Linked DNA regions of Drosophila melanogaster. The protein of the gene in region 1 purifies or fractionates together with the protein of each later gene. This does not show direct contact. Each region holds a gene or a part of one and is shown in the gene's direction. Other genes may lie near its edges.

Evidence for each region.
Region 2: the proteins of Yp2 (region 1) and CG16826 purify together in Drosophila melanogaster (affinity purification with mass spectrometry, with the first as the bait; one large-scale study listed by BioGRID). This does not show direct contact.
Region 3: the proteins of Yp2 (region 1) and CG34205 purify together in Drosophila melanogaster (affinity purification with mass spectrometry, with the first as the bait; one large-scale study listed by BioGRID). This does not show direct contact.
Region 4: the proteins of Yp2 (region 1) and CG5506 purify together in Drosophila melanogaster (affinity purification with mass spectrometry, with the first as the bait; one large-scale study listed by BioGRID). This does not show direct contact.

The regions. Positions count from the first base shown.
Region 1 is NC_004354.4:10,047,502-10,055,879, reverse strand, and holds Yp2 (yolk protein 2), read left to right. Parts: upstream 1-3,245; 5' UTR 3,246-3,296; coding exon 3,297-3,531; intron 3,532-3,599; coding exon 3,600-4,693; 3' UTR 4,694-4,929; downstream 4,930-8,378. Other genes in the region: Yp1 (yolk protein 1), read right to left, coding at 567-1,666, 1,744-1,963; Cht6 (chitinase 6), read right to left, coding at 5,465-5,988, 6,049-6,366, 7,383-7,875. UniProt on the Drosophila melanogaster protein: Vitellogenin is the major yolk protein of eggs where it is used as a food source during embryogenesis. Vitellogenins and their receptor yl/yolkless are required for maintenance of microtubule plus-end orientation towards the posterior pole of oocytes.
Region 2 is NT_033779.5:13,343,753-13,351,607, forward strand, and holds CG16826 (uncharacterized protein), read left to right. Parts: upstream 1-4,020; 5' UTR 4,021-4,044; coding exon 4,045-5,070; 3' UTR 5,071-5,268; downstream 5,269-7,855. Other genes in the region: CG9395 (uncharacterized protein), read right to left, coding at 7,115-7,642, 7,706-7,855.
Region 3 is NT_033778.4:22,127,242-22,135,237, reverse strand, and holds CG34205 (uncharacterized protein), read left to right. Parts: upstream 1-3,938; 5' UTR 3,939-4,027; coding exon 4,028-4,105; intron 4,106-4,270; coding exon 4,271-4,594; intron 4,595-4,657; coding exon 4,658-4,909; 3' UTR 4,910-5,124; downstream 5,125-7,996. Other genes in the region: NtR, read right to left, coding at 5,125-5,247, 5,308-5,474, 5,547-5,687, 5,753-6,284, 6,357-6,544, 6,613-6,765, 6,825-6,956, 7,062-7,383; GM130 (golgi matrix protein 130 kD), read left to right, coding at 7,876-7,932.
Region 4 is NT_037436.4:17,881,218-17,888,647, reverse strand, and holds CG5506 (uncharacterized protein), read left to right. Parts: upstream 1-4,271; 5' UTR 4,272-4,302; coding exon 4,303-4,369; intron 4,370-4,436; coding exon 4,437-4,912; 3' UTR 4,913-4,999; downstream 5,000-7,430. Other genes in the region: CG16775 (uncharacterized protein), read left to right, coding at 2,007-2,582; CG7408 (uncharacterized protein), read right to left, coding at 6,035-6,847, 7,178-7,430.

The DNA.
Region 1 (8,378 bases):
AAAAATCAGAAGATGGAAACATCCTATTTAAATAGGTGGAAGTTTAAATAAGCAAAAGTCTCTCGCCTAAGCCCTGATCCTAAACTCTTGGCTGTATTTCTAATTGTTATCGCTTCATGTTGAGGTTTATTGTTATAACGCCAGCCTCCCATGAGCAATACTCCCCCCAAATTACCGTAAACAAATTATTTTCTAATCTGAGCCCAAGCCATAAGTGGAGAAGATTAGACCTCAACACCACAAAAACACCGACAACAATAAAATAAATCTAAGTTTACAAAACCAAACTACGATATTTACTTTTGATTTTGTTCCCTTTTTTTTGGGATGATCTATTAGACTATTATAGTTCCTAAATGATTTAAGATAAACAAAATAGATATTTTTAAGCTCTTTATCGAGCGTTTATTTGCTGAATTTCGCGATGTGCTCGTTAAATGTTTAGGTAATCTCAAGAAAAGGGCCAATATGGGTTCAACTTAGGGACTACAGTGTTTGTGTGGTTGGGTGGTTGTTTGTTGTTTGGTAGTTGCCATTCCAGGTGTCCAGAGTAAGCAGACTCATCCTTACTGGTAGTCCTTGCTGTCCTGGTTGGTGTTCCACGCCTGGTGGACACCGTGGTAGCTGCTCTGCTTCTGGGCGGGTGCGTTGCGGCCGAAAGGAGACTTGGGGTTCACCTGCAGAATGTAGTCACCCTCGAGATCGTGAGCGGTATCGATGCCCATGTAGGCACGCTTGCCGAATCCATCGTTCTGCTTGTACTGCTGCAGGGAGTTGGCTGGCACGGCGGGGAAGCTCCTCTCGTTTCCGGGACGCACGGACTCGGCGAAGTAGCGGGTGGCACGCATGGCGGCCTCCACCACGTTGCTGGCTCCGGGAACACCGGCGGCAGGTCCATTGGGATAGAAGTCAACATCACCGGAGCGGATGGGGGTGCCCATGCCGTAGACCGAGGTGTGGATGGCGTCAACGAATTCAGCATCACCGCGAGCCAGACCGGTCAGGGTGTTCTTGCTCTTGGCCACGATCTTGGAGGGATCCAGACCGGTGACACGGCGCAGCTTGTGTCCGGTGAGACGGGTGAATTCCTGGGCAGCGGCACCGGCAACATGGGCACCCACATTCTGGCCAATCAGGTGAATGGTATCGAAGGGCATGTCCAACTCGTTGACCATCTGGACGATCCACTTGCCGATCTTGGCGCCGGTCTTCTCAATGTCGAGCATGGCATAACGCTCATAGGTGTTCAGCTTGGAGCCCAAATCGATCACAATGATGTCGCCGCTTTGGGTCTTGGCGTTCTTAACCTCCTCGCTGTAGTCCTCCTCGCTGCTGGTCCTCTGGTTCTTCCTCTGTTCGTTGCTCTGATCCTGGTAGTCCTGGTTGCCGTTCTTGCCGTGCTGGCGCTGCTGCTGCAGATTGTAGCGCTGCATGTAAGCCTGAACCAGCTTCCTGGTCGCCTTCTTCACGGTCTCGCTGGTCTGGGGCAGTCCGGTCACAATGATGGTCACCTCATCCTCACCAAAGTTCTGCTTCTGCTTCAGGCGCTGGATCATCTCGTTCAGGGGAGCAACGGTCTTGTCACCATTGGGCTTGGGCACATAGACCTGGATGCCGCTGGGCACATAGTTGGGCTCAACGTTGTGGTGGATCTGCGACAGGTGGTCTACAAAGGATATATATATTCCATAGAATATTCGATGTTTTTTTTTTTTTTTTTTATCTGCATCTAGGATTACTCACAGACTTGCTGCAGCAGCTCGGCGCCACGCTCCAGGTTCATGTTCTCCAGACGCTCAATGGTGAAATCGTCGAGGGCGGGAATGGCCTCCAGCTGGGATCCGGAGAGCCACTGCGACGGCTTCAATGCCTGGTTGACGGAGTTGTCCATACGGCCATTGGGCTTGGCCAAGGCGGCGACCGCCAAGCAAGCCAGAAGGCTCAGCACTCTCATGGGGTTCATGGTTCGGATTTGGGATTTGGTCCTGCGGATGCGACTTCAACACTGAGTGAGTTGAACTGGCCTTCCAAATCCAACGATGGTGGTTTATATACCACAATTTGCGCTGAGCGATTTCCCATTTTCTGACTCGCTTTTCGCTGGCTCAGGCCTTAATCGGTCACTTGTGCTGAGTAAGGGTTTTCGGGTGCCTGGGAATCGGATGAGTGTATATGCTATCGATAGCGGAATAAATTGTATACATACAAAATAGACACGGGGCCTACCTATAGCTGACCCCACTGATGACTTAGCAGCACCTGCTGCCGCCTGATTATTTTAATTTGTAATCACTTTGTAGGCTCCGCTGATTGCAACATTGTAGTTGTGCACCGGATTTGATCAAATAAATGCATAAAATATAGATCTAACATGGGCATTAGTTGGTTATTATATACAACATTTTATTGATTTTTTTTGTTTATAAGTAGATTTATATTTGGCACTTTTCTTCTGCTTAATTAAAAGTCCATAATTTTGCATTTTCAATTCAAGGCCGATACAGTTCATTGATTCCTAGATGTTTGCCATTGATACGAAAAGTATGGAATGTTTGTAGTTTCCAAGGCAAGATAGTAAGATTATATTTGTTTTTGGACTTTAGAAATGAATTGATTCAGGGGAACGTTTTTCAAGGAGATTCTATTTTAATATCCGGGATTCGTTTTATAATATATGATCTTATCGATGCTATTTCATGTAACTCATTCTACTTATTAAAAATATATGTATATTTCGATAGATGTAAATATTTATATTTATAATATTATAATTTATAATATATTTATTTTGCATTTCCCTGAAAGTGCTATCTGCTTATAGAACAATTTAGACAATTCTTTTGGCAAACACTTAAATAGTTGCATAAATTTCACAAAATTGCCAAATATTTTTTTCAAACAAAAGCTTTATCTTGACCTGTGCATGAGTTCAAGTCGTGCCCCCACTGTCAAGCCCCTTAATGGCCAGACCACCTTTTGTTTATGTTATGAAAGTGCTGGTTAAAGAAGTTTCCCATTACCTGTTACCCGATGGATACTTAATAACCAAAAAAAAAAAAAAAAAAGGGGAACGAAATTTTAGAGCTCATCAGAAGTGTTGCAAAATCACTGACGCTGCGAATCAATGCATTTGTGCTGATCCAGAAATCGGTTGCTGAAATCAATTGCTTCCGGCGCGTGCATTATAGTGTGTATAGACTACCGATTCCAAGGGGTATAAAATGCATTGAGTCGCAGCAGTGGGTATGCAGTACAATTTGGTACGGTGTCTGAAAAAGTCGAACTTGGAAGCCACAATGAATCCTCTGCGCACCCTTTGCGTTATGGCCTGCCTTCTGGCGGTCGCCATGGGTAATCCCCAATCTGGTAACCGTTCCGGTCGCCGATCCAACTCCCTGGACAATGTGGAGCAGCCCAGCAACTGGGTCAATCCACGTGAAGTCGAGGAGCTGCCCAACCTGAAGGAGGTTACCCTTAAGAAGCTGCAGGAGATGAGCCTGGAGGAGGGCGCTACGCTGTTGGACAAGCTCTGTAAGTTCAAGGATCTCTAAAAGTTCTACCAATCATGTTATATTTACACGCACTATCCTATCCCGCAGACCATCTGTCCCAGTTCAACCATGTCTTCAAGCCCGATTACACCCCGGAACCCAGCCAGATCAGGGGCTACATTGTCGGCGAGCGCGGCCAGAAGATCGAGTTCAACCTGAACACTTTGGTGGAGAAGGTTAAGCGCCAGCAGAAGTTCGGCGACGATGAGGTCACCATCTTCATCCAGGGCCTGCCCGAGACCAACACCCAAGTGCAGAAGGCTACCAGGAAGCTGGTGCAGGCCTACCAGCAGCGTTACAACCTCCAGCCCTATGAGACCACCGACTACTCCAACGAGGAGCAGAGCCAGAGGAGTTCCAGCGAGGAGCAGCAAACGCAGCGCAGGAAGCAGAACGGTGAACAGGATGATACCAAGACCGGAGACCTGATTGTGATTCAGCTGGGCAATGCCATCGAGGACTTTGAGCAGTACGCCACCCTGAACATTGAGCGTCTGGGCGAGATCATTGGCAACCGTCTGGTTGAGCTGACCAACACCGTGAACGTGCCCCAAGAGATTATCCATCTGATTGGCTCTGGACCCGCTGCCCACGTTGCCGGAGTGGCTGGACGCCAGTTCACCCGTCAGACCGGACACAAGTTGCGCCGCATCACCGCCCTGGACCCCACTAAGATCTACGGCAAGCCCGAGGAGAGGCTGACCGGACTGGCCCGTGGTGATGCTGACTTCGTTGATGCCATCCACACCTCCGCCTACGGCATGGGTACCAGCCAGCGATTGGCCAACGTGGACTTCTTCCCCAACGGACCCTCGACCGGAGTGCCCGGAGCCGATAATGTCGTTGAGGCCACCATGCGTGCCACCCGCTACTTCGCCGAGTCCGTGCGTCCTGGAAACGAGAGGAACTTCCCCTCCGTGGCCGCCAGCTCGTACCAGGAGTACAAGCAGAACAAGGGCTATGGCAAGCGCGGCTACATGGGCATCGCTACCGATTTCGATCTGCAGGGCGATTACATTCTGCAGGTGAACTCGAAGAGCCCCTTCGGCAGGAGCACTCCCGCCCAGAAACAGACCGGCTACCACCAGGTCCACCAGCCCTGGCGCCAGTCCTCCTCCAACCAGGGTTCCCGCCGTCAGTAGATCATCGCACAGTGATCCATCGATGACAACCAGATCGCACACCCCTCATGCGAGCGAACCACTCCAGCCCATCCTCATCCAGCAGAACCCTCTGCCAGTTGCATCCACTACGATTAGTTAGCTTTGTTTTTTTAACTCACAATAAAAAACGTTTGCATTTTTAAACATTCTAAAGAGTTCAGTTCAATATCAGAAAAAAACCCCAGTTCAATTTACAATAAAAACAATTGCTTATGTCGAAATATTTGAGAGTTCTAAATGCTCATTATATAAAAATATCCAAAACCAAATTATGCAATGCCACTGAGGTCATAAAAGAAGCACACAACAAACATTTGGATTACATGATATGTTTATTTGATAAAGAAAGCATATTATCCATTATGATATATAGCGTACACACACGCACAACCACATATATAGATATGGCGCTATATATATGGGACGATGAACTACGGACAATATTTCTTGCTTACTACTGTATTGGCAGGCGCAAAAAAATTGGGTTGAGATATCACTAAGCTTAAATAAGAATAATTAACGTAGAATTTCAACTTGCTTCACTCATATTCATCGTCTCGATTTCAACAACCTCATCAGAACTAATCACAAATTGGAAAAATCATATACAACACGGGGTGCAATGGGAATGGATGGTCTTTTTATCGATGCGAATGGGTCTCCAGATGAGATGGGTTAATGGATTTAGAGGCTTATTTAGAGCTGTGTTTTTGTTTTTGTTTTTTTTTTTTGATTTGTTTGTCTATCAGTCTAATCGCGGCAGGGCTGATCCGAGGGCGACCAGGTGCACATGCCGCCGACGCCGTCGTAGGTTAGTCCCTTGGGACAGGTGTACTCCCATCCAACGATTCCACCGGTCTCCTCGAATCGGGCGCAGGATATAAACTTCCTGCAGTTGAGGGGATGCGGAAAATTTCCCTGTGCCCGGCACTCAATGATGCCATGACCATGAACGATCACCTTGGGATCGTTTTTGGTCGGAAGAATACTGCCACTGCGACGCCGTTGGGCGACCTGACTGTGAACCACCGGGAATCCCTCGTCCAGAAATTGACTACTTGACGTGGCTGAGATTACGGCAGTCTTGGCCGGCGGACGACTGTAGACCTCGATGTATTTGTGCGGACGACGACGACTCTGCTGGCGACGGGAGAGAGGAGGAGCCGAGTGTCCAGCCGACGTGGTCGATCTCAAAGTTGAACCGGATGTGGTTGTAGTGGGGGGCGTTGATGTGGTCGATTGCGGCCGACGAGGACGTGGGATCAATTGACGGCCTGCAGTAACAAGTTAAAACCAGTCAAATACAAACAACAATGCAATGGTTATACACTTACGGATTCCCTGGCCAATAACTGGTAGTGGTGCATTGGCAGTGGTGCTAACTGTGGTGCTGGTGCTCTTCAGTGGCTGCGCTGGCAATGCCAAGTCATATTCCTCTCGTGGACGCACCTGCTCTGGTATCTGGTTGAAGCGGCTCGTGTGAATGCTCGACTTGGCCACCTGATCCTCGTCGTCGTCGTTCAAATACAGAGTGGTGGTGGTTTCCAGGCCCGAAACTGGTGGGTTGGTGGTGCGGGCGGACGGCGGAGTGGTGGATATAAGGGTGAGGCGGCGCTTGAACAGTGGGTTCTGAGTTCTGGGCACCTCGGTGGCTAAAGGGAAAACATAATAAGAATATGAAATATGAAATTTAAAAAAAAAATTAAGAAAATTCATGGCTTAATATTTTGATAACAAAATAATTTCATTAGGCGAAAAAGCAATAACAGGATTGTTGGTAAAATTGAGATGTTTATGACAACTTATTTTCATCATAACTTGGCCTAAAATTATCGTAAAGATGTAAGAATAACATTTTTGAGCAGCTAATTACTAGTACTAACTAGTAGTACCTGTCACTTTTTGAAGAAATTAGGAATTTTAATTTTTGGGTCATTTTTCGCCTTTTTTGTAAGGGGTAACATCATCAAAATTTGCAAAAAATTACCAAAAAATAGAATTTCCATTTGTGAATACAGTTCGATTGGGAATTTTATTACGAGCTCAACGAGGTATGACATTCTATATTCAGGCAATTATTTTTAAAGTTATGCCAAAAAAAAACGGATTATTTGATGGCCGAATTTCGGAAAAACGGATTTAGCCAAAATCTTGATATTTACAATTGGAATTTTCGTCATAACTTGGCTAAAAATGGTCATATAAATGTAAGAATAACTGTTTTGAGCAGCTAATTACCCATGCTAACGATCCCTATCACTTTCTGGAGGATTTTCGAAAATTAATTTTTGGGTAAATTTTCGCATTTTTTGTAAGGGGTAACATCATCAAAATTTGCAAAAAATGGCCAAAAAATAGAATTTCCATTTGTGAATACAGTTCGATTGGGAATTTTATTACGAAATCAACGAGGTATGACATTCCATATTCAGACAATTATTTTTAAAGTTGTGGCAAAAAAACTGATTATTTTATGACCGAAATTCGGTAAAAACGGATTTTGCCAAAAAGTTGATATTTACAAACGGAATTTTCGTCATAACTTGGCTAAAAATGCTCGTTATGAATCTTTGGCGAGTTCGACAAGTTTCTTCGTTGCTGGTAATGAAGTACGTACCGTTATCCTATTGTTTGATAATGCATTTAAATTTATGCCAAGTTTACTTACCACTTTCATCGCCGTTGGCCGCCGGTGCGAAGGTTGTCAGCCGACGCGTTTGAAATTGGCGGCGCAGAGCAAAACTGGCGGGCTGGAACTTGTGCTGCTTTTGTGTGATGTCATTGCTGCTGCTGCTGATGTTGCTAGTTGCTGGCGTCAGTGTTGCTGCCTCACCGGATGCTGCTGCTGCTGCTGCGGCACCGCTCTTGGCTTTCAGCTTGCTCAGGTAAATGTTGCTGGTGGTTCTGCCGCCGGGAGCAGATGTTGCTGCTGGGAAAGCTGTTGTTGCTGCTGCAGTGGTCGTTGTTGCTGCTGCCGCTGCTGCTGTTGCTGTTGCGGAGGGTCTGCTGCGCAGTCGGCTGTATTTGGAGGTCGTCGGTGGTTCTGCTGCTGGCTGCTGCGTGGTGGTTTCAACCGCTGCCGACGTCGGCGAGTTGATAATCCGCCGGCGGACACTCAACACCGGTCGCCGCGAAACGCTGCCAGTCGTTGGTTGTCGCAGCTGCCAGTCGGTAGTCAAAAGTGGTTCGTTCGCGGTACATGGAATTATATTGAAAACAAACACTGAATTTAGCATTTTGTGTATTTTAAGATACATATTAAACGTTTTTTTGCAACTCGCTGTTTTGGTGTTTCGTATTTTTGTTTTCGTGCCTTTTCCGGCGGTGTGCAGTCAACAACAATTCAAAAGCGCGCTACATGCTATAAACAATAATAATAATCATATTGAAAATATTAAAGTATTGGTTAAGCATAAGAAATCTACTAAAGCCTTAAATAAATTAGTACTGTTTGGCGCTTGTTGTGTATTGTGTTTTACTGTGGGCATTTGGGCATTGGGCAGTGGGAAGTTGGGCTTTTCGAATTGAAAGGAATGGAAAGGAAAGGAAACCCTTCGAAAGGTGCTTTCTCTCGCCATCTCGGCAAGATCAAGTTGACCGCTAAGTGGGCCAACAACCGCAAAAATGCAGTCAGGCATTTTAATTGAAGGACGTTCGAGTGCAA
Region 2 (7,855 bases), on another chromosome or scaffold:
CACTTTTGCAGGGGGGGAATGTGTTCGAACCTCACCCGAAAATTACTTCACAATACACACATTCAATAAATAATTTCAATTTGAATATTTAATTTGTATATTCGTGCATACATGTATTAATTAATGAAAATAATTATAAGTGCTGTAATTAATATTATATTATAGTTCTATAAATGGACAATACTAAACATATGCAACTTAGAATATGTTCAAAATCACTAGGATGTGTTGATCGAATAAGTGACCTAAAAATATATCTTCTTTCAATTAATTAATTTAAATGAATAAATAAACTAAACGTGCAGCTGCCCAAAATCCCCGCAGCATTTGGAGTAGCAACATGATTACAGTTACTTTTAATTATATAAATTAGCTACATTTCCCTCTTATTTAACGAATTAATTTACTCCCAGCTTTTGTGTCAGCAGATCGCTTGCCGAAATTTGCCTCGGCCGAAGGCAGGTGAATAAAGTGATGGCTCCTGCGGCTGGCCGCATATGTGGGCCAACTTAGTGGCAATAAGTTAAATTAGCATAAACTTAATTAGCATAAGAGTGCTGGGCCAACTGGGAGACGGTAGATAGAGAGACCAGGAACCACGATGGCACAAGTGGGCGGGAATGCTGGCATATATGCCACCCAGGCCACCACCCGCTTTGCATATATTTCACTGCAAATCCGCAGCGCATTAAAAGAAAATACGTGGCAAAAAAAGAGTGCAGGCTTTATATGTATAAAATAAAATGCACAGCAAAACAATGCAGGCAGCATGGGTGAGCATTTTCGAGTCTGGGGATTGTGCCAATGAAGTAACGACCGCACATACAGATACAATGTTGCCCAGCCCGTAGGTTGGTGGTTTGGATTTGCAGAATGGCAGGATGGCAGGATGGCACTGCGCTAAGTGACTGCTGTTATACATTTAGCCAGGGCTGATGGGATTGTGCCGAGCGATACGGTGGAGCAGATATGGCCAGAGATACGTTTACAGTTGGAGTCGAGAGTGCGCCCGGCCACCTCATATGCTCGCATACTTGTACACTCGCCTCTGAACAACTGTACAAATGTACAAATGTACAAATGTACTCCGGTGGACTACACTGCTGCCACCTGGCGCCTCCACCTGATCCCCAAAGCGTCCAGGAGCGCGACAAGATAAAAGCTGGTGCACTAAATCTGCTGCTATGTGCGCCACGGGACACAGTGGGCAACCTTCTACGGCAGCTCCTATTCTCGCACTGCTTCTTTTGGTCGGGCCACGCTGCGTATGAGCAATGCTATGCGCGTTAAGTATATGTATTTGTTTGTCCTAAAGGATTTAGCCAAACGGCCCTCATCATGGTCGCCTGCATATGCAAAATAATGCGCTCGAAAATTTTCCACTCGTTGCACTCACTTAGAGCAATGGTATTTTAGGAAAATATGCAAGTGCACTCAGTGCTTTTATGTATTTCATTCTGATTTTCATGAAAAGTTATATTTATTGTGCTCTGTAAGTAAAGCAAGTGCACGGAATTGGGAAAATAATATATATTTCCGGACAGTCTGAAGAAAATATTGATATATTTAAACTATAAAAAATACCTGTGGGAAGATTGTTCGGATTATTTTAATCTCATATGTGCAAAAACGAATTAACGAACTTTTATCATCCACTTTTCGCTGAAACTGCAATACATTCTGCAGGCCCCTAAAGCTCGATGGCCATCATTAATGCAGCCATTATTTCCCATATTTTTTATTTTTTATTTATATTTCTCCTTATCGTAGGCAGGCCTGAAAGGGGGGCCAAGTTAATTTCAGAGCACACTTTACGTGCTGCAATTTGGAGCGTTTCAGTTGCATTCGGACCCGGGCCAGCAGCACATTTGGTAAGCAATAAATTGACCCGCCAGCCGACGCCATCATCTACTTTAAAAGCATTTGTTGCCACACCGCCACCACCCAGAACCTGTGGCCGCGCCCCCAATCAGCAGCACTTGGAGCCATCCGCCGCCCTGTGACCTCCTCCAATCCCCTCCAGCAGTTGCCAGAGCGCCGTACTCGAAGCGGCGACGACGCTAAAAAGATACCGGAAATGTTACAGGAAACAAAATGACTTAATGGCCGCGATTGCAACGGCATGGAATCGTTTCAGGCATCCTCCTGATCCTGGTCCTTTTCCATTTTCCTTCATGCTCCTTGGTCCATAGCCTGCTGGCATTCATGGAGGTTGCCGAGGTCAGCAGAAAAGCATAAAGGAAAGGTTATGGCACGGCCATGTGCTGAATGGATACCCTTCTTCAGATCGTCTTTGTTTACAAACATATTTTATATCAATAAGTCATAGTTATTATTTTTAAAAAATAATAAAAAGTTAAGCACTCTTTTAAGTGCTCAAAGAATAGCTATTAAAAAAGGTACTAAGTTTAATAAAATACTTATCACGTGTAAGACAAATATATTCTATTAAGGTCAAGTGATATTTGTGATGTAATCCCACTTACATAAACTTTTTTGAGCTAGCATTTAAGCTCATGCTTCTCGAATTCCCCACATGAATTGCTTTTCTTAAATGGACCAGACTCTCCCACTCCACACCTGATGTCCTCTAAATGGAGCCGATGATGAGCGTGATCCGCCAAAGGCAAGTTACTGCCCATACGACCCGACCCGACCTCTTTCTTTAAACAGGTAATTGCAATTGCGACATCATTATCATATGCTAAACGGAACTGATTGCTATTGAAACGGTTTTGAGGTTTGAATTTCTTTTGAGCTGAAACATATTTCTAATTAAATTAATTAAGCGAAGCGAGAATATGGCAAGTATGCAAGCCAATTAGTGGAAAACGCAAAATTAAATGTCTGTGCATTGAGGAGACTGCAGCGGTGTGGAGTGGATGGGTGTAAAAATAGCTGGGAAAAATGGCAACCAGAAGAGTGCGGGATCGCTCCGCCAACCCATTGTCCTTGTCCATGGAGCACTTTGTTGGCCACTCCGGCTATAATTGCGTTGAGACATGTAAGCTTTTGTTTTGCAGTTAGGCGTGTGGCTGTGCGACAAAGTTAATGACAGCATAATTAAACAAAACTAACAGCAGACTAATAAAATGTTCATAGTGCATGTCGCTCAAGGCCTCGGCACATCACCACGCCATCACAACCCCATCACCTCGCCACCCACAATGCCAGCTACTTTCCATATCTCCAAATGTATATACATTTATACAATACATATACCTGGCGAGCATTTCATGTCGTTGTGTGTCAACGTTTGTCAAGCGACAATTAAAGTCATAATAAAGGCATGCTAAAGACAATTATTATGTGCACGTCCTGCCACGCCCCCCAAAAAGAACCACCCAGTTCGTTCGGTTAGTTATGCATAAAGTTCGCCACAAAAGGGTTTAACCTGAGCGTAAACATGCGCTCCTTTGTCTCGCAGGCATATAAATTTCAAAATTAAAGCAGAGTTTAACCTTTGTCCTTGTGCAAATGGCAGGGTGGGTCTATAACCACCTGCCTGCGATTGTGTGAGACCCGCATAAAGAGCCTTCGGTTTTAATGCACGCGAAATTGACTTATTTGATTTATTTTCATAGTTTAAGCCAAGGGCTTTTATTATAAGCATGCTTTAAGTGAGTGGATTTGAGAGGGGATTTTAAGAAAATGCAAGGCAAAAGTTATATTTATATTCGCGTTGTTAATTATTTATTGAGTACTGTATTTTGCGGTGATTAAAAAAATAACGTTGTGTTTGAATAAAGAAAATCATTGTCCTCATAACACTGAGAATGCATAAAATAATTTTTTTTTTAATTGCCCCCAAGTACAGTAAAACAAATGTGCACAGAGCTTTCTTCGAAAAGTTATCCAACCAGCATGCATTCCACTATTCGCTCATTATGGAAAGCGGCTGATTAAATATTAACTAATTTAATAAAATGCCGGCCTGCTTCAATATTGAAATAGTCAGCGAATGTATTTGCCCAAGCGCACGTAGCCGAGATATATAAAAGGTGGTCCAGGGTGCAGAATGATTAGGCTATCCGTTGACCGACGATGCATTCGACCAAGTCAGCCGTTCTCCTGCTCGCCCTGGCCATCAGCGCCAGCTGCGTTGTTGCCACACCGCATCCGGAATTCTTGGATGAAATCTTCGGCTCCATAAACCAAACTGGCCAGCACATCATCAGTGGATTCGTGAATGCCACCAGGAATGGCACGGCCATTGCTGGTGAGTTCCTGGACAGCATAAGGAACTCCTCCGCCCAGTACACGCACGAAACCCTGGAGTTTGCCCAAAAAATCGCAGATGCAGTTCATAGAGCCGCCACTGAGTCAATCGTCGACTTTTCCGCGACTCTGAGGGCGCAGATCGACGCACTGCATCAGGGGATTGATCGGGTGAGAAACATCCTGCAGCGAGAGGCACTTAAGGATGCTCTCGCCAGACTGCAGACCGTCAATACCGTCGTAAATGATCTGGAAGTGGCCGTGAATAACCTCAATGATCGGATAGACGAGAAGAAACAAGAGTATTTCGCCATAATCCAGAAGAAGTGGTACCAATGGTCTGACGCCCAATTGGAACGAGTGGATAAGCTGACGAATGGAGTTGGCAACGAGGAAGCCGAGGAGATCATAAATGAGCTACTCTCCCGGTATTCCGGATATCTGCACAGCTGCCTGGAGGAGTTGCAAGCGCAGCAAGCCACGTTTGAGCAAAATGTCCAAGAGGCCATCGAAAAGTACCACAATGCCACCAACGAACTGACGGACCAAGTCGAGCTCTGCGTCCAGTTCAACCTCAGCTTCCTGTCCTGCCGCAATGGCATCAATGAGGCACTACGCGGACTCGACTCGGCTCCCGCGGAGCTGCTCACCCTGAAGCTTCAAGGCATCCGACTACTGGCCATCGGCCTGAATGCCAGCGGATGTGTGGGCCAGACCCTGGCCGAGCACGAGCTGGAGAAGCCCAGCGTGGAGCGCAAGCTGGATGAGATCATTGCGGAGTACCAGGAGCAGCAGACTTCCACCGATGACGACTCTAGCTCTAATAATGAAACGACCACCATAAGTTCGTAGGATTTCGGGGAGTCATCCAGTAATGAATATGACAACTCCAGCAATGACGACGAATCCTCATGGAAATATTTACAAGAACGTATAGTGTATTTTAGGTGTCGGGTAGAAGCAGCAAAATAAATTACTCTAATGCAACTAAATTAGAAATTGTTTTCCTTCATCGTTTATCAATGATGTTTCTTAATAAACTATGCCAAGCTTCTCAAAATATTTCTTAACTTTGAACAGTACTTTAAAAATTACTCTACCGCAAACGTATTACCCAGATACCGATTAACTTCATCAATGGTGCAGCACATTTTTTGCGGATGCTAAAGCAATTATTTTAAAATTGTCATATTCATTTATTTAGGTAAGGCACGAAAGTCGTGGCAATTTAAAGACACGAGGCTTTAGTAGATTAATTATTTAAATGCATTCGATTCTGCCTTTATATGTAAATTAAATAAGGGTGCTAAATAATATAGAAAAAGGGAAAAAGAAACTAACTTGCACTCTTAGCACCTCCCCTACTAACAAATGATGCAAATGAACTGAGTGAATTCCCCTTAAAGGACTTCCCCAGCTGCTATAAATATAAATAGTTGTATAACAACAGTAACGAAAGGTATAACACTGAATTAACAATCTCAACTGCTATAAAAATGAACTTTTGTGCTTTTGTATAACAGTCAATTGAAGAGGACACGAAGCGCGTAGTACAGCGTTTATAAAGTTTTATGCTGTTATATTTTTCAATGAAAATGTGTTATTTCATATCGAATATAACAGATTTGCTATAATATTCAAATTATGGCTCCGTTCAACTAGCATACATCTGATTCTCATTTATAGCTCATACGCCATGTATACATAACTAACGTACAGCTGGGTAAATTACATTTATAGCTCATACGCCCTGTATAACACGTGTACGATTTCCCCTTTATGACTTTGCGAGGGGGGCACTAAATGAACCACTCGAGAATAAATATTTGCTGAAATAAAACGCAGGCTTTCTATCTTAGTTTGCTTACTTGCAATTTTATTGACTTCATGTGTTTGAATAGATCTCTTTAGTATCTGAATTTGCCTCTTATTACCTAAAGACCACTAAATCTGTTTTTCTGATTTCTGTTTATTATTTACTTAATGATTATACTTTTTGTGCGCTAAGCCAAACAAAAAGTTTACAGATTTCGAAGCATTGGAAATTCGATTCAGTTTCGTGATAATACTAAACTTATCATTTTGCGTTTCTGCCTCATGCACAAGCCAAAAGACAAGGACCTGTAAATATGTCCCAAGCTTTTTCAGCCCACTAACTCATAGACTGAGCGCTTACCTCGGAGGAGTTTCGGCCTTACTAATTGATAATGTTGCACTAACAGTTCGCTGGCAAAATATCGATACATATTCATTGTTTTGCTGCATGCAACGCCTTACTTTCATTCTTGTATACCTTATTGCTTACTCTAAAACACGAAACAATGGCTTAGATTACATATGAATTTCGCATTAGGAATTTACTGAATTTTGTTTAGGAATAATTTTGCATTAGGACTACCAAAATCGGGAAAGCATATTTTCCAAATTAAAGAGAACAACCAAACAGTGATTAGTGATTATAATAATTTCGTAGTTGCTTCTATCTAGCATTGTTTAAGTATTTCTTAAGTCTCTCATCCCTTGTTTCATCGGAAAATATATCAATGAAATATTTGTTTCAAAATTTATATAACTGAAAATATTTCGTAGGACTCAAACATTATGTAGAGGAATTCAAAATATATTTTTTTTGAACAACCAACTTGATTTTCGCTTGAGATCATACAGCTACAATCATGTGTTATTGCTTCGATTCGTAAGTGCGTTCCTTTTATTCCTACTGTGAGCAAATGAACATACTTAAATACTTAGGGTCAGTTAATTTGTTGAGCATTCTGATGATGGCCAAATGAAGTTGATAAACCGCACCGGAACACAACCAACTAAATTCTCAAACTAATTGGCACATAAATGAACCAAATGCCCCAATTTAAATGTTTCCAACAATGTCCATATCTCATTGGTACTCCACCCTGGCCACGGGCACGCCCAAATCATTGATCTCAAAGACAATCAGCTTCCGTTTCTTGCGGACATTGGCCGATGGAATCGATTGCTTGGGTGTCGTCGTGGTCTTTGTGGATGTGGTGACCGGGATGGATTGCTGCTGCTTCGTTGCCCCTCCTTTCGTTGTTGCCTTCGTCGTTGTTGTGGCTGTGGCAGTGGCCACTCCTTTGATTAAACTCTCATTCGTTGTTGCACCCAATTTTCTCTTCGGTTCCAGCAGTTTCGGATTTCCCTTGGGCTTCTCTTTAGTCTTATCATTAGTATTTTCCTCGGGTTTCTTCTTGGTAATTTCTACTGGTTTTTCCTGTGGATTCTCCTTGGTCTTGAGCAACGGTGGCAAAGCTGGAAGATCGCAACGCTGGCGGAGATGACGATACACTGCATCCACCCGCTGTACCAAGCGATTCACATACTTTGTGGTCGTTCGATCTACAATCGAAGGAGCCTTGATGCAGTCGTTGCCACCGAATTCACAAACCTACAGGGGAATAATAAATTTATAAAATACATCTTTTTTTGAGACTTTAGTTTATATACTGACCCGATAATGCTGCAGGATGGCCTCCTTTGGCGGTACGTTGAGGGATCCCTTGCCAGGTGCAAATTCCCACACGAAGTGGTTGCCCGCCTCGACAACTGCTTCCGGTTTACAGATGTACTTGGATCGTTGCTTCTGAGGATGCAGCTTATA
Region 3 (7,996 bases), on another chromosome or scaffold:
CGTTGGGCTTTCATTTGCTGCTAGGAAAGAGTAAATAGCGCGCGTTGCTACTTATCCGCAGAAAGTAGTAGTAGGTAGTAGTGTATTATAAAACAATGCATTACCAGTAAATCAAAAATACTAATAATTAACAGATAGTTCTTACTTGACCAAAAGTGTTTTCTTTCTTACCTTACAATAATGCAAAGGTAATAATATATACATTCATATGTAGTTATTAAGAGCATTTGAAATTCGTCTGTTGCCGCGGTAAGTTTTACTTTCTTCATTCCTTTTGCCCCCCGTAAAAACACAAAAGAATTTCCATCAATAATGTCAATAGTGGTGCTACAACAACAACATTAACACCGCCATAACAACAAAAGCAATGGCAACAACACGAAGACACTCCTCTTGGCTTTTGCCTTCGGATTCTTCCACCTCTTCTGCGTCCACAGACGAATTATGGCCATTAAAGCTGCTTGGGGTTTTAAGTTATTAGGCAACTTGAATTTCAAACTGCACTTGACAAACGCACAAATAAAGAAAAACAATCTTAAATGCGCAGTCAGTCACACAACTGCAGTGGACTTAATCAGTTAATAATCTAGGCTTAAAGGTTGATTTAATCACGGCTAAACTGGAAAAGGGGAGCAATCCTCAACAAACCGTGTTTAAAATTGGATTTAAGGTCAGTGTTCAGCGAAGTCCAATCCATCCATCCCACAAACATACATAGGTATTCCACCCACTTGCTCACCTGTTGAATTTCAAGGGGAGCATTTAACCCCTTTAAATCGCCGACACCCCAATGCTGTGGTTCGTGCATTGCTCATACGTCATTAACTTCAGTGACTTTGATCTATATTTATTTGAGTCTCTGGGTCTTTTTCTATGGAAACGTAGCGAAGGGCAATCGATTGAAGAAAAAAGAGTTGTATTGAATGATAAACTTGAATTGCTCATTCAATAGGATTCCATTCCATGTCGATGTTGAATGTTTTATATACATTTTTTAAAAAGGTTATATATACTACTATAAATCTAGCCAACAATATTATATTTTTTTTTGCAAATGTTAACTTATATTTCAAAACAAAGTTTGTAATACAAGTAAATTACATAAAACATAAAATATACATGACAGCTATCTACGTCCGCTGTCCTAAGCTACGCCATCTGTTGGTCATGAAAATTGAGCAGAACATCTGTTAGATGGCGCCACTAAGCCAAGCTTATCTTTAAGCTAAGACAGCGAAAAAGCTAGTTTTAAATTTAAGCTTACATCAAACCCGTTTCACCTTAGCGCAAACATTAAGAGCATTTTAAATTTAAATATTTTGTATTTTATTAAATATTATTTATTAATCACGCCATTTAACATACACAAATATCCATAGACAGGATCGTTATAGCCCGTTTTCCTCTATTTAATCAGCCCACTTTATCTGGACCATTACCATGGCAATAATCATTTCACAACCGACCGCCTCGACGCAGTCATCCCATAAATACACCACTTACCACCAATTCCTGTTGACGAAAAACAAACAAGAAGGCGACAAAATGGCCAGCAGTCTATGGAGTAGAAACAGTCATTGATTTGCAGTCAGTTGGGATTGCTAAATGCAAAATGGACTCGGAATACACAAAGAAAAAAATTAATTCATTTACAAGACCTCCAAATATGTATATATATATCATCACATGGAATTTTTCTGCTAGCTTAAAATATTATCCAAATTGTAATCGATTTTTAAGGGAATCATACATTTGAAAACAAATTCATCAAAGTTGGTGCGGTGCATTTCAAAAACTTCCAGTCACGTCAGCAGCGAGGCTCTAAGTTTGTCAGCTCCCAAAAGCTGAACTCCAAATCCATTTCCATGTCCACCACGATTCATTCATTAATTCAGGCAAAGCGTCATAAATGCCACGCGGTTTTTATTTGGTTTTTCAGGCTGGTTGATTTCGTCGTTTGTTTTTGATTTAATTAAGCGGCGCTTTTCCATTTTGCAATGTTTTTCTTGGCCGTTCCGCGAAGCATTTGCAAGTCAAATGCAGCGGCGTTAATTAATTGAATGGATCGAAAAATAACGCATACGCAGCGTGCGCCGCGAAGAATTCTGCGCTTGCGATCCATTGGGCAATCGCTTTGAATTCTCTCATCCATTCTGTGGCCAGTGGCTAATTAGGCCCGTCATCCAAAATTCGCGGCATTTTGCACCCATTTTGGAGCACACGCCGCCCGATCGCCAAATCCAAATGCGGCTAAAGACTCGCCTCTCGATCGAAGCCATAAAAACCAAGACGAGGATCGATCGGCTGATCGCCTTAAATCGTCATTTAGTATGTGGCAATTTGGCATTCGAGTTTGCCACCCTTCTGATCCACCGACCGATTGCTGGAAAATTGCTTTCCACCTGGCCAAAATGTGGGGCAGTGGCTGGGAAATCTTTTATTTATGAGGACCGGCGACACACCGACCACAACACACAACACCGATCTGTCCGCATCTGTCCGGATCGAATTGGACATGGAACACTTGTTTGGCAGTCGCCGACCACTGGCAACAATTGCTCCTATTGACTTAATATTTGCTAATAGAATTCACATAAATCACATTCCACTGGCATGCATGATTTATGCATGAACTGCGATCGCAGGTGACTCTCTGTCTCTTTTGCGGCGTTTCGTGCTGTCCTTTTCTCATTGTGCTAAGTTTTTTTTCGAGTTTTTTTTACGAGATTTCGGCGTTGAAGTGGTGTTTTCGAGACCTCTTGAGAGGAACTCCACTGAAGTGCTGCAAGTTGCATGCGCTAATCTGAGACATTATGTGCTTTCCAAACTTTAGTTTCTTAACCCTAATATATAAAGCAAGTATTTAAACACGGACTACCTTATTGTCTCAAAAAGTTATGTAAAGTCCACAAAAATATAAATCATTTAAGAAATGAATATATACACCATATCTATACTTAAAGCGAATAAGTGATATAATGATTACTTGAGACACTATTAATCCGTGATAAGGATCACGACGAGCATTCTCAACAATTTGTAGCATTATTAATTTTGTGATGACCCAATGTCACACCTCCGTACCCCCGCACATCCCGTGGGGTTAATCAAGTCGGCCATAAAAAATCCCACGAACTGCCAGATGCTGAACCGGCAATTTCAGCCGGCAAAGTCGATGGATCGATGGCGAGTTGAAGCTGGAGCTGGAGCTGGCGAACTGGGGCCTCCACTCGATCCAAACCCCCTCGCCACGCACGAGTGTCCTCGAGACGAGACGGCGTGGCTGCGGCTGAAATCACCCATCCAATATGGTCAAATGTGGCACGCAGCGGCATTCGAGGCACGATAAAGATAAATATGAAGCTCGCCTAGATATTTCGGCCAGAGGGGATTGCTGCTTGGTGTTTGGTTTTGGCGTTTGCCGATTTGGCAAGCGTTCATTATGCAATTTGGAGAGAATTTCCCAGCGCCACGCCGAGAATTGTTTCGAGAATACTCAAACATAGCAACGAAAACAATTAGACGGCATTCTACGTTGGCTAATTAAGTTGTTAGTGGCAAGGCTGCGTGCTTTCGAGGGGCGTGTCACCTGGCGCGTTGCCCAAATTGGCCAGCTAATCAGCGATTTCAATTAGCGTGCGCTTTCCAAATGCGAGCCACAATGGCACCCCCAGTGTAAAGACCGCCTTTCCTGCGGCGACTCCTTAGCCGGCAAGTGGTCTGCCTTCGGTTCGGAGCTCCCAACTCCCAGCTCCAGTTCAGGTTGCGTCATCCGCGTTTGGGGGCTCTCCAATCCGAGCTGCGTCTACGAGAATTGCAGTTTCACTGCAGCCGAGATACTTCACAAATTGGTGCTGCTTGGCCCGCTTTGTTGACTGCTGTCTGCTGACTGTTTGTCCGTCCGAGGCTCAGATCGAAATCTAGTCAAGATCTGTCCGCTCGACCACCTGTCCTCCGGTCCGCAGTTCGCAGTCCGCTCGAGAGTGCGAGTGCGTGGTCTGCCGTCGAGGGGTATAAAAGTAACGCAATGCACACGTCCACTTACAGTTGCAATTCTCCCTCCAAGCCAAGTGATTCGTTATCCAGCGCTAGCATGAAACTTCTGGTGAGTGGAAAGGGTTGGAAAGGATGCGGCCTAGGATCAGTATTATCACTTTAAGCCAATAATACTGACTGCAAAGGATATCTTCATACAAGGATTACCTCGATCTTATATTCACTAGATCAAAAAGATTAACATCAAAGTTTGGTTTTCCATTTACCTCGCCAGATCCTTACCTCTCTGCTGGCTGTGGCCACTGCTGCTCCTGGACTCCTTGATTATGGACACTCGGCTCCGGACTACAGCTACGCCCATGCCGCTCCTGCCATAACATATGCAGCTGCAGCTCCAGTCATCAAGTCCTACGCTGCCCCAGCCATCACCTATGCGGCTCCAGCTCCGGTGATCAAGTCCTATGCCGCTCCAGCCATCAGCTACGCCCATGCCGCTCCTGCCATCAGCTACGCCGCTCCCACGGTGGTCAAGTCCTATGCTGCTCCTGTGGCGGTCAAGGTGGCAGCTCCAGCCACCAGCTACTCGCACTTCAGCTCGGTAAGATCTGGATATACTCTGATATTTTCCCATTTAATCTTACAATCTACTTTGCATGCACAGGTTGTTTCCCATGCCACGCCCATTGTTAAGTCGTACGCTGCGCCTGCCATCGCCTATGCTGCTCCAGCTCCGGTGATCAAGTCCTATGCCGCTCCAGCCATCAGTTACGCCCATGCCGCTCCAGCCATCAGCTACGCTGCTCCCACGGTGGTCAAGTCATATGCGGCTCCAGCCATCAGCTACGCAGCTCCTGCCCTGGTTAAGTCATACGCTGCACCTGCCCTGTCCCTGGGTGGATACGGTTACCACTAAGCTCCGATACCAAAACACTCCAAATCCAAATCGATCCCGGATCGGAGTTGGAACAATGGCAGCAATTAACTGCGAGGAGTCGCAACAGCCCAGCACGCTCTCCCACTTTTTCAACTTGTAGTCGCAAAATCTTCACAATCTTCTCTGTTTACTTCTTATTTATTTAAGAACCATTAATATTCTCTCAAATGCACAATAAAGAAAAATTCTGTTTTTCAAAACCCACTCGTAATATCTACGATGGCAAAGGTTATAATGACCAAGATTGAACTCAGGTTGTTCAGGATCTTGGCCATATGGTGCCAGGGATTCTCCTGAATGTCGCAATAGTCGGTAGACTGTAGGAATATAGTGAATTGCAATACGTATATGTGTTCAATAGGGGCTTAACTACTCACATCCGAAAATCTCAATCCCAGAATGCATCGCAGAACATTGGAGTTAATCACCCTAACCAGCCAGCCAGGAGCCTTCGATCTGGGTGGATATAGATCCAGCCATATAATGCAGATGTGCAGAATGTAGCAATAGGTGGTGGTCATCATGATGACTTTATATGCAGTCACTGTAGGAAAAGTGAAAATTTGAATTTGAAAATTATACACAGTGAGTTTTAGTTAATTGATTTAAAACTTACTCATGGGCGGCACATAATGCGGAGAGGCGTAGCGCGTCATGTACATTAAACCCCAGGCGGCAATCAGCAAGGCGATGAGAATGAGGGAACTCCTACGAGTAGAACGCAGTACAAAGGACAAAATCAGGAACATCTGGCAGGCTGAAAGAATATATTGTAGTTATATGTTATTCCATAACAAGAAATCAAACACATTTTCATATTACCAATCAACGGCAAATAGAAGACGGTCATGTAGAAGCTCCGATTCCTTTGCAGCGTGAACTCAATTGCCACATCGCCGGTCATTTTCTGCATCATTCCCTTGGGGTTGTATCGCCTTTGCGAATCGTTCTCCACCAGCACCACGGACATTTGCGTGAACGACCAGCCGGATGGCGTGTTCACGTGCTCATTGGGCGCAATCGGCTTGCGCTGATCATCGTAGATTAGCGCCACATTCTCCTGCCCCTCCTGGCCATTGAGACCCAGCTCGATGTCGCAAGTCACTCGCTCGCTTGGCCAGTTTCGGGCACTGTCCACACACCAACTGGCCAGCTGGAGGTTTTGAGCGTACAGGGTGATGCTTCCGTTGGCGTAGACCATCAGCTCATAGGATTGGAGGACCTGACCCATGGATTGCAGGGCGCCGTTGAGGACGTTCATATGCGGCTTCCATATACGAAGGTCAGGATGTTCGAAAGATTCCAGCGAGCCGAAGTCCTCGGGTTTCCAGACAAGACGACTATCCCTCCAGTGCTGCATGGATAGGCGAATGTATCTTTACTGTTTCACACTAAATATTTGCATTTCGAGCTTATCTTTCATTACCATCATCATGTGCATGCGGGTCTGAAGCAAGGAACTGGTTTGCTCGTAGGCGAGGGAGCGCGTTTGGAAGTGGAACGATATGGAGCTGAGATTAGCCGGCATGCTTGCATTTTCCGCCTGGATATTCAGATGGCTTAGCAGTTTTTCCGTCTTCGTTTCCTCCTTCACTATCGGTGCAATTTCCGACCCTGAAATGGGTCAGTTTTAGAACATACTTACAGATATAGACTTATAGCTTACTATATATCATCCTTACCATAACCATCGAAGCCACAGTCGTAAAACCACCGCGCCGTATTGGAACCAAAGGAGCTGAAACTCAGATAGTTGATGACCAGCGGTGCTTCATCGATGAACTGCAGCAGGGGCTCCTTCTTGAAGCCGGGTATGTAAACAAACAGCTCGCCATCTGGAAATATACTGTGCGTTGGAGGGGCAGGGAATACCCGATAAGATGGGGGAACTCACTCTGGTTTTGGACAATCTCAATTGGCGTCGGGTCGTACAGCGATACCAAGTTCGGCTCTTGATTCGTGGCCACCCGCCTCATTCCCATAGCATTCCGGATTGCGGAAAACGTATTTCCGCCGGCTCCTATCACTGCAAGCGGAATAAAGATATCAATTGAATATTTAGGTAGGGTTCCACTAGAAAGAGCTCATTGAAATGCTGGAATTAAAACTGAATATTATTGATTTCACCCACCGATCTCGTAAACGCGATCATTTGGGCGCGGGTGATTCGTCACCGAGAGCAGGATGTGCGCATCCATGGCGGTCAGGACGTAGAATTTCAAGTGCAGCCGCTCTCCGGCCTTCCTGTTGTTGTTGCTCAGCTCGCGCAGCATGTAGAACCTCCGGTAGCCATAGCCCGTATTCGGAACGGAGTAGGTTTCGCAGGAATCCAGCTGGGCGAAGCTCACGTTGAATCTCGTTGACAGTTGTCCCGATTCCGCTGGGTCAATCAATATCAGTAGCAGGCACAGGCAGCAGTATGTTGCCAAGGAGCCCTTGATAAGGTTGTACATCGTATCGACCTGGACTTCTACTCCTCACAGCGGCTTAACTACGACTGAATTAGGAAGCCGACTTAAGTGAAGTGATAAGAAACGATGAACTAATGGTTGTTTCGATAAATAATACTGTTTTTTTTTTTTAATTTGAAGAGTATTTCTCAAAACCTCCTCGCATGAACGTTTATGCAAGTAGAGTGAAATTTCTTAATTGTACATAATCTCTGTTTATTGAAAACGGATACGCATATATACGTGTTCGATTTTAAAAATGAAAAAAAAGCTAAAAATGCGCGCCAATATATAACTGTGCTTTCCCTGCCGCCTAGTGTACCCGTTCGCGCGGCATTTTGGCTCTAAACGCGTACGGTCATACTGAACTTCAGACCTGTTATCAACATTCAGAAATTTCCACTTTTGCCTAGCTTAATTTACATTTGTTGGCTCGCCTTCCGAACCGAGCTTACTCCAGGTGTGGCAAAGGTACCGCTGCTGACCCCGAAGGACATGCCCGATGACACGCAGGATGCCAAGGCGCAGAAGTTGGCCGCGGCAAGGAAAAAGGTGCGACAACCAGTGCCACACACAATTGTTTTGCTCTTGTGACGTGGACACATATTGGCCGACT
Region 4 (7,430 bases), on another chromosome or scaffold:
AAAGTCGTGCGAATGAGATGGGTATTTTCGTCACGACATGTGGATTGTACATGTGTAATTGAGAATGGGAACGCCCAGCGGGTAGGAGGTGACCTTCACAGGTTGTTAATATCGTGACCTTGATAAAACACTTGTGATGCAATTAAGATCAAGTTAATCGGTCGTTATTGGAAAGGTTCTTAAGTATAAAGACCCCACAACTGCCTCCGACTGATCCGATCGAAACAAGTTTTAGTGGAAAAATGTTCGCGATTGAAAAGTTTAAGGATTTTGTCGATCCTATACTAAAACCAACTTATAGTTATGTTCAACAACATTTTTCTTTAGCCAATTATAATGCTATCTTCAAATTGTTGAATTCATGTTGCTATAATAAATTAAGAAATTGTGAATATAACGGTCCTTATATGCGCTTCAAGAAAGTGGTTCTTAACGTAATCGTTAAAATTTTTTTATTGAACCTCTTCGGTAACCATAAAGTAATTTGTTTTTTCGAGTGCTTTTCATTTCACTTAAAAAATATTTTTTTTATAATGACTTCATTAAAGCAAGAGCGGTTTCAATTCAGATAGAGCTGTGATTACCATATTAGAAAAAAAAAACTGGTTCAGAGCTCAATGCTAAATGAAATGTCGTATATATAATTAGTTGATGCTTTGCAATGAGTATAAATAAAAACTTTAAACTATTGTAAATATTATTAGTTATTATTAAGATTACGGTGTTCGACTTAAAAAATGATCTTGCATAAATCACTGCACTTGGTGTGATCACATTTACTTATTTTAATCCTATTAATTAAAAAGAATACTTGAACTTTCCGAACGCGGGGTTTTTCAACTGTCTTAGCATCTTACACTAAATTTTAAACACTTAAATCAGCGGATTTTAGCTGAATGGTTCAGCGATGAAATGTGATCGTCGACGATCCTTCTCCCAGCGACTTCTCCACTCGACTAAACGCTTCGCTGGATTTTGGCGCTTTTAAAGTGGACAACGTTTTCGCCGACTCCGACGACTGTGACGTCACGAAGCGTGCGCGAAAAATAGTAGTAAAAGTTATAGCTTACTGCTATAAAACAGCAACAGAAATAATCGTGCAAAAGCAAAACCAACCGCCATAACAGCAAAACCAAAATGTGTCTTTTGCAAAGGCACAATTCAAAGTTTAACGAACTTTTGAAGGGATCGAGTAAGATTGCGAGAAAAATATGAGCCAAGTTTTGTTTTAAGCTGTATTATTACGATAGTTGACTTAGGTCAGGGTTCTTGTACCACGTTCTTTGATAAGACGGCTATGTTGATAAACCCACAAACTGGTTTGAATATCACCAATTGAGTTGATTAGTATTCCTGCCTTTGATTTGGCCTGACGATTTTGGCCTTACCCATATGCGTGCCAATTTTGGAAGGTTGGCCAATTCACATAAATATTTAACATATTAGAACTTGCTAAATAAAAACCACTCTTTATTTTTCGGATACGATTAAATTAAACCATTTCGCCAAGAACTTTATTCTGAAAAATTAGATTTCCGTTTAAGCGATATACGTAGATAATAGAGTGGAAAACATCATTTAAATAGGTTTCATCTAAAGCAAGCTACTGAAAAGCTGTTTTCCTTGAATACACAATTTAATGTACACAATTTAGGAAGTTACTCATTGAGTAAGACGGTGTACCACCACATTTGTTTAAAATAATTTAACTGGTTGAGTAAATCATTTTCAGCCCTATAAGAGTCTTTGGTCAGGATCACTAGTGAATTCGGTCTATTTTTAGGGGAAATTTTTTAGCGGGGGTTTTGCAAAAGTTTAAAGATCTTCCCTGTAACTGACCACAGAACTTTAATTGTTAATCACCGATCTAAAAAAGTTACTAACAATCTAATCACAAAGTTACTCCTCGAAGAATGATTTACTATCAATCTATAGATAAGAAAGACCTATAAAAGATGTTAGCAGCTCGAAATGTCCACAACACCCCGCCTCTCAACAATCGAATCATGTTCTCAGCCAAGAGTTCTGCAATTGTGGCCGTAGTCCTCGTCCAGATGGTGGCTCAAATCCACGGAGGAGTCTACAGCTATGAGGACAAGTGGGTGTACCTGGACAAGACCCTGGACCTTCCAGAGGAAGCGATTCTCGGTGGCGTCGATCCCGATGGTTACTACACCTACGTGGGTCGTGTCACATACAGCAGTAACATTCTGCCAGCCCGAGTGGTACCGGAGCTGGGAAAGGCCACCTACAACACCGACACCTTGGGCAACCAAGCCACCACCTACGAGGTTCTGGTGTCCAACGCCACTGTCGGCTACCATTGGATCCGTAGTTTCGATGGTTTCCGGGAAAAGAACGCCGTATCTGTGGGAACCAACGCCCTCAGCGAGCGTGTCTTCATCTGTCGTGTCCGCTGTGATGAATCCATCTTTATCGGCACTCTGTACCTTTCCAAGCGGATGTGCATCGTCAAGTACGACAACTTTCCGCTCCGGCAGTTCGACAAGTACGAGATCCTTGTCCGCGAACGCCATGTAGCTGCCGTCTCGCCATTTGTTGATGGTTATATCCACCATTAAATGCTGAGCAACAAAATAAATAGAATAAAATATAAATACAAAATATTTATTAAAAAAAAACAATTCCTTTCAATTTATTTAATGACTTTGAATTAATAAAAATAATTAATATAAAAGCAAAGTTTCCTATTCTTTTTTCTTAATTTAAAAGAGGTAGAAAAACAGAATAACTGTGTTTAAGTTTTTGATAAATCCAAAGAAGAAATTATGTGAATTCCTATTTTCAATTTTTTTGTAACTGTAACTATTTATTCCTTTGTTAAATTAATTACTTAATTATACTCGTAGAGTAAACGCATTTACTTGATTTTGATTGATTGACAATGATATAACAAGTGGATGGAAGCTTTTTCAACCCAACAAAGTATATATAGTTTCGATCAGGATCACTAGACGGGTCATTCAAGCCATATCCGACTGTCCGTACGTTTGTCTGTATGAACATGGTAATCTCGGGAACTATAAAAGCTAGAAAGTTGATATCAGACTTGCAGATTCTAGTCACTTCAAGATATCTTCCTAGTCAACAGTTCAAGAATGTACTGCTACAAGGGCTTGATAATTGTGGCCGTAGTCCTAGTTCATTTGGTGACCCTTATCAGGGGAGCAGTATATAGCAGTGAAGACAAATAGATCCTTGCCGACAGGACGAAGGATCTGCTGGACGAAGCAGTGCTGGCTACATGAACTACGTCGGCCGTGTGTACTATAATGTCCTCAATAATGTCCTGCCTGCCCGAATGGTCCCGGAATTGGTTAGGGCCCACTTCAACACGGACGAGGCTAACTTTGCGCTGAAGGCGTCTTCATAGAAACGCTGTAGCCTTCGAAAAGAGGGTGCATTCTCAAATACGAGTACGAGTAATACAAGTACGAGATACTGATCAGGCAACGCCAAGTGGCTTCGTTCATGCCATTCGCTCTGTAAATACATTGTATGTATACTGAATGCAAGCAAATAAAATCTATAACTCTTTATCAGAAAATAGTCTTTTGCGTTCTTAATTGATTTATCATGTTAGATAAGATGACAACTTTGATTTTTATATAAGGAAAGGAAATTACATGAATATTTCACTAAGCTAATTGAAATATATACCAACTTAAAATTTTATTATATATTAAAGAAGTGCGATATAAGATATTCCATAGGGGAAAATGTTGATTGTATGACACGATCTTTCGTCTTGTAAAACCTGTATGTCATGGGAAATTAAAAAAAATTGTTCTCTAATATTGTTTTATTCAAAATATATTAAAGTAAAACTTATAATTTTTAGTTTATTTATATCAGACTAATTTTGACCAACTTGAAGAGCATACAAACTTTTTTTTGATTCAAACGAGAGGGATATTTCGATGGCTATGCTCTTTACTAATATTGGTTTTAAAACAAAAGTTTTTAGTTGCTCATTGTATGAACAAACAACAAAATAAATATATTAAAGTTCCTAATTAAATATATTTTAAATCATTTTATGTTTAACAACTAAGTTATAGCTCAATATTATGAAATGACTTAGGGGGATTTTTTCTTTAAATTTCTCTTACTTTGAAAGGGTGCAATAAAACAACGATGCGTTAGTCACCGAAACAGATGCTATCAATACCAATCTTTTGATAGCGATAAGTGTAATTGGAGTCGAAAGATAAGAAGACGACTATAAAAGCAGTTAAGTCACTGGCCAGACACTCAAAGTGAATCCAGCAGTCCGTCAAGATGTACAAACTTGTCTGTGTAGTTTTGGCCCTGTTTGCAGTTGCCTACGCGGTTCCCTCGACTTATGGTGAGAACCAATAATAATATAATATAGAGGGTTAACTGAATCCAATTAACATAGCCATTTCGAACAGATACCGAGCACGTGTGGAAGGCTGGTAACCTGTCCTACGTTATTCCCTATAATGCCGTTGTGGGTGGCTTCGATCCCTACGGATTTACCACCTATGTTGGTCGTGTTAAGTACTCCAATAGCATCCTGCCGGCTCGAGTTGTTGCGGAAACTGGTACTGCTTACTTCAATACGGAAACCACATCCTCGAAGCTCCTCGTCTACGACATCCTAGTGGCTGAGCGGGATGTAAATTACGTGTGGGTCAGGAGCTTCGATGGATTCTATGAAAAGGGAGCCGTTGCCGTGGGCACGACGGTCAAAAATGAGCGGGTGTTCTGCTGCCGTGCTAAGACCGATGGAGGCATCCTAATCGGCACCCTGCTCCTTAGCAGCCAGAAGGTGTGCATCATCAAGCACGAGAGCTTGGCCCTGCGAAAGTTCGACAAATATGAAGTTCTGGTGGCCCAGCCTAAAGGCAATGGAACATACTACTAAATTCTACTACTAGATCTTTGTCTGAATTAAGTTCCTTTGATATCCCGGCTCCCTTAAAAAATAAATAAAACATAATTTATTTCAAGTAATTATATTTATTTTGTAATTCACGGAATCGCACTTATTCAATTTTTTGATATGCATCAAATCTTATTAACATATATAGTTCAGTAAATGGATTGACTTTGAAACACTTAATTTTTATAAACAGACTAGTTTTATAAAATATGATTCTCAGGCAGATGATGTTTTTCACAAATTTCTTAATACATTCATATTTCTGGCAAAGAAAGACGTCTCCTTTCACATCAAAATTATTAATTCGTCCCCAACAATTTTTATATCATATTTATATTCCATGACATTTATAGAAAAATTAAAATAAAATAAAAATAAAACTGCCATTAAAATAAAACTTTATGCCTAAAGCGAAAATTGAGATTGGTAATTTTTTAAAAATGCCTTTTTGGAAGGACAACTATTTCTTAACTCGAAATTTCTTTTAAATTCATATTTTATTATGAACTCATCGTAATTTTCTGTTCTACATGCTGCTATGGACAAGAAAATGTATATACATTTTAAAGGTTTTAACTTTCGTACGTTTTTTTTACTCTTAGTTCATTTTGACGAACAAAGTAAGTCCATAATGTCTTTTTTGATAGATAGAACAGTTGATTGATTATGGTATTTAATCTGTAACCAAAGATCTTGCCTTGATTTCAGTGTCGTAAACTATTTTGGTTAAATACTATGTAAGCCACTTTGATTGGCAGAAAGCTATTTGGCTGTGCTTTAATTTAATTTGAAGGGGGTTTTGCAACTATCAGTTTTCGCAGAAGTAATCGATTAGATAAAAAGGGAGATTGGCCTTTTGACACCGGATCAAATTGGACAGTACTCAGAAATGGTTATTGATAGGTAGAATTGAAGTCATAAATTATCGCATTTGTTGCAGAAAAGCTATCGGTTTACTATGAGTTACGGCCACAAGCCAATTGGTTAAATAATAAAATATAAAATTGTCTATTTTCCTTAGACGAAGTTTTTATTAATTTTTTGAATACATGCCAACTTTGCTAACAAGATCATTAAATATTTAACCTACATAAGAATTTTCATTTAATTAATACAACTGCTCGTGAAGATGAATACCACTAACAGGGTAAAGACTTTCATTACCCCGATAGTCCCTGAACTGGAAGCCTTCTCGTCCTGCCACCAAGTCCACTCATTATGGTAAAATCGTGGATCGCAATTGGGATCCCCCGGCTTGTTATTGGGAGGATGTGCCTGTTTGGCAAATTGCTGGATTCGCGACCAAAGATCCAGAAAGATTGTCGAGTTTTGATACTCCGCATATAGGTTGCTCCGCTCGCAGGGATCAGCCTCAATATCGAAGAGACAGGGTCCCTCGAGAGGCAAGCAGGGCTTGACTCCTGTCGCAGGATCTGGGCATTCGATCCTGCTCTGATCTCTTAGTTCGCTGATGTTGCGCTCTCCGAATGACACCTGCTGCAACTGCAGCCAGACACTGGTATTCCGAACGAGTTCTTCGTATTCCACTGCGCGAGGATCCACTTCACTGGTTTCCCTATGACCAAGCCAGCCGTCGTAGAGACCCTGATTGGTAGTGCCGCTAATCACCTTCCACTTTCCACGCGTATAGGACAAATGCGGCTCCGCCACGTCCTCATCAATCACATGGACAATCTCCCGTTCTACCGACTCGTATCCGTACTTGAGGGCAGACCACAGGTTCAATCCGTCCAAATGGAGCGCCGGATCCGGGGATATTCCGGCTGCTGCCGCCAACGTGGGCAAAAGGTCGCCAATATAGATCTGCTGCTTCCAAACACTTCCCAGCCGCTCGAACTCAGTGCTCCAAATGGCCGCTGAGGATCGCAGAGCACCCTCCCAGGGGGAATTCTTTTGCTAAAATATAAATTGATTATAATCAGCGAACTAAATATCAAAAAGGAACATGTTCCAAAAGTGTTTGCATGAACGTTTTGGGTGTTTTAGTATTTATAAATAGTTAACAACGGACATGGGCAGATTACAAACGATATATCCACTTCTTACATTTGTTAAACAAATTTAGTTTTATCTACGATTAACGGTAATGACATTGACATTGTGTTCAATTATTGAAAAAAAAAGTAGTACAAGTTTTATAATGAAATTAAATTAGTTCAGTCCGTAGTCGTTTTATGTTTATACGTAGTTTTAGCTTATACATAAATATCAAATAGCATGACTTACCCCCCTCAGTGGGTAATTAGAGGCAGTGGTAGAGTGTTGTCCCTGTGTTGGCCCACCATTATCGGATAGAAAGAGTATGATGCTGTTTTGGAGCATTTCCTGTCTGGCTAGGGCGTCGATTACAGATCCCACACTTTTATCCAGTCTGGAAACCATGGCGGCGTAGTAACGATGGGTTTTATTGCTAATGTATTCAAATCGGGACACCTCCTCTGCTGGTGCCTGCATGGGATCATCATCATTTGCAGCATGT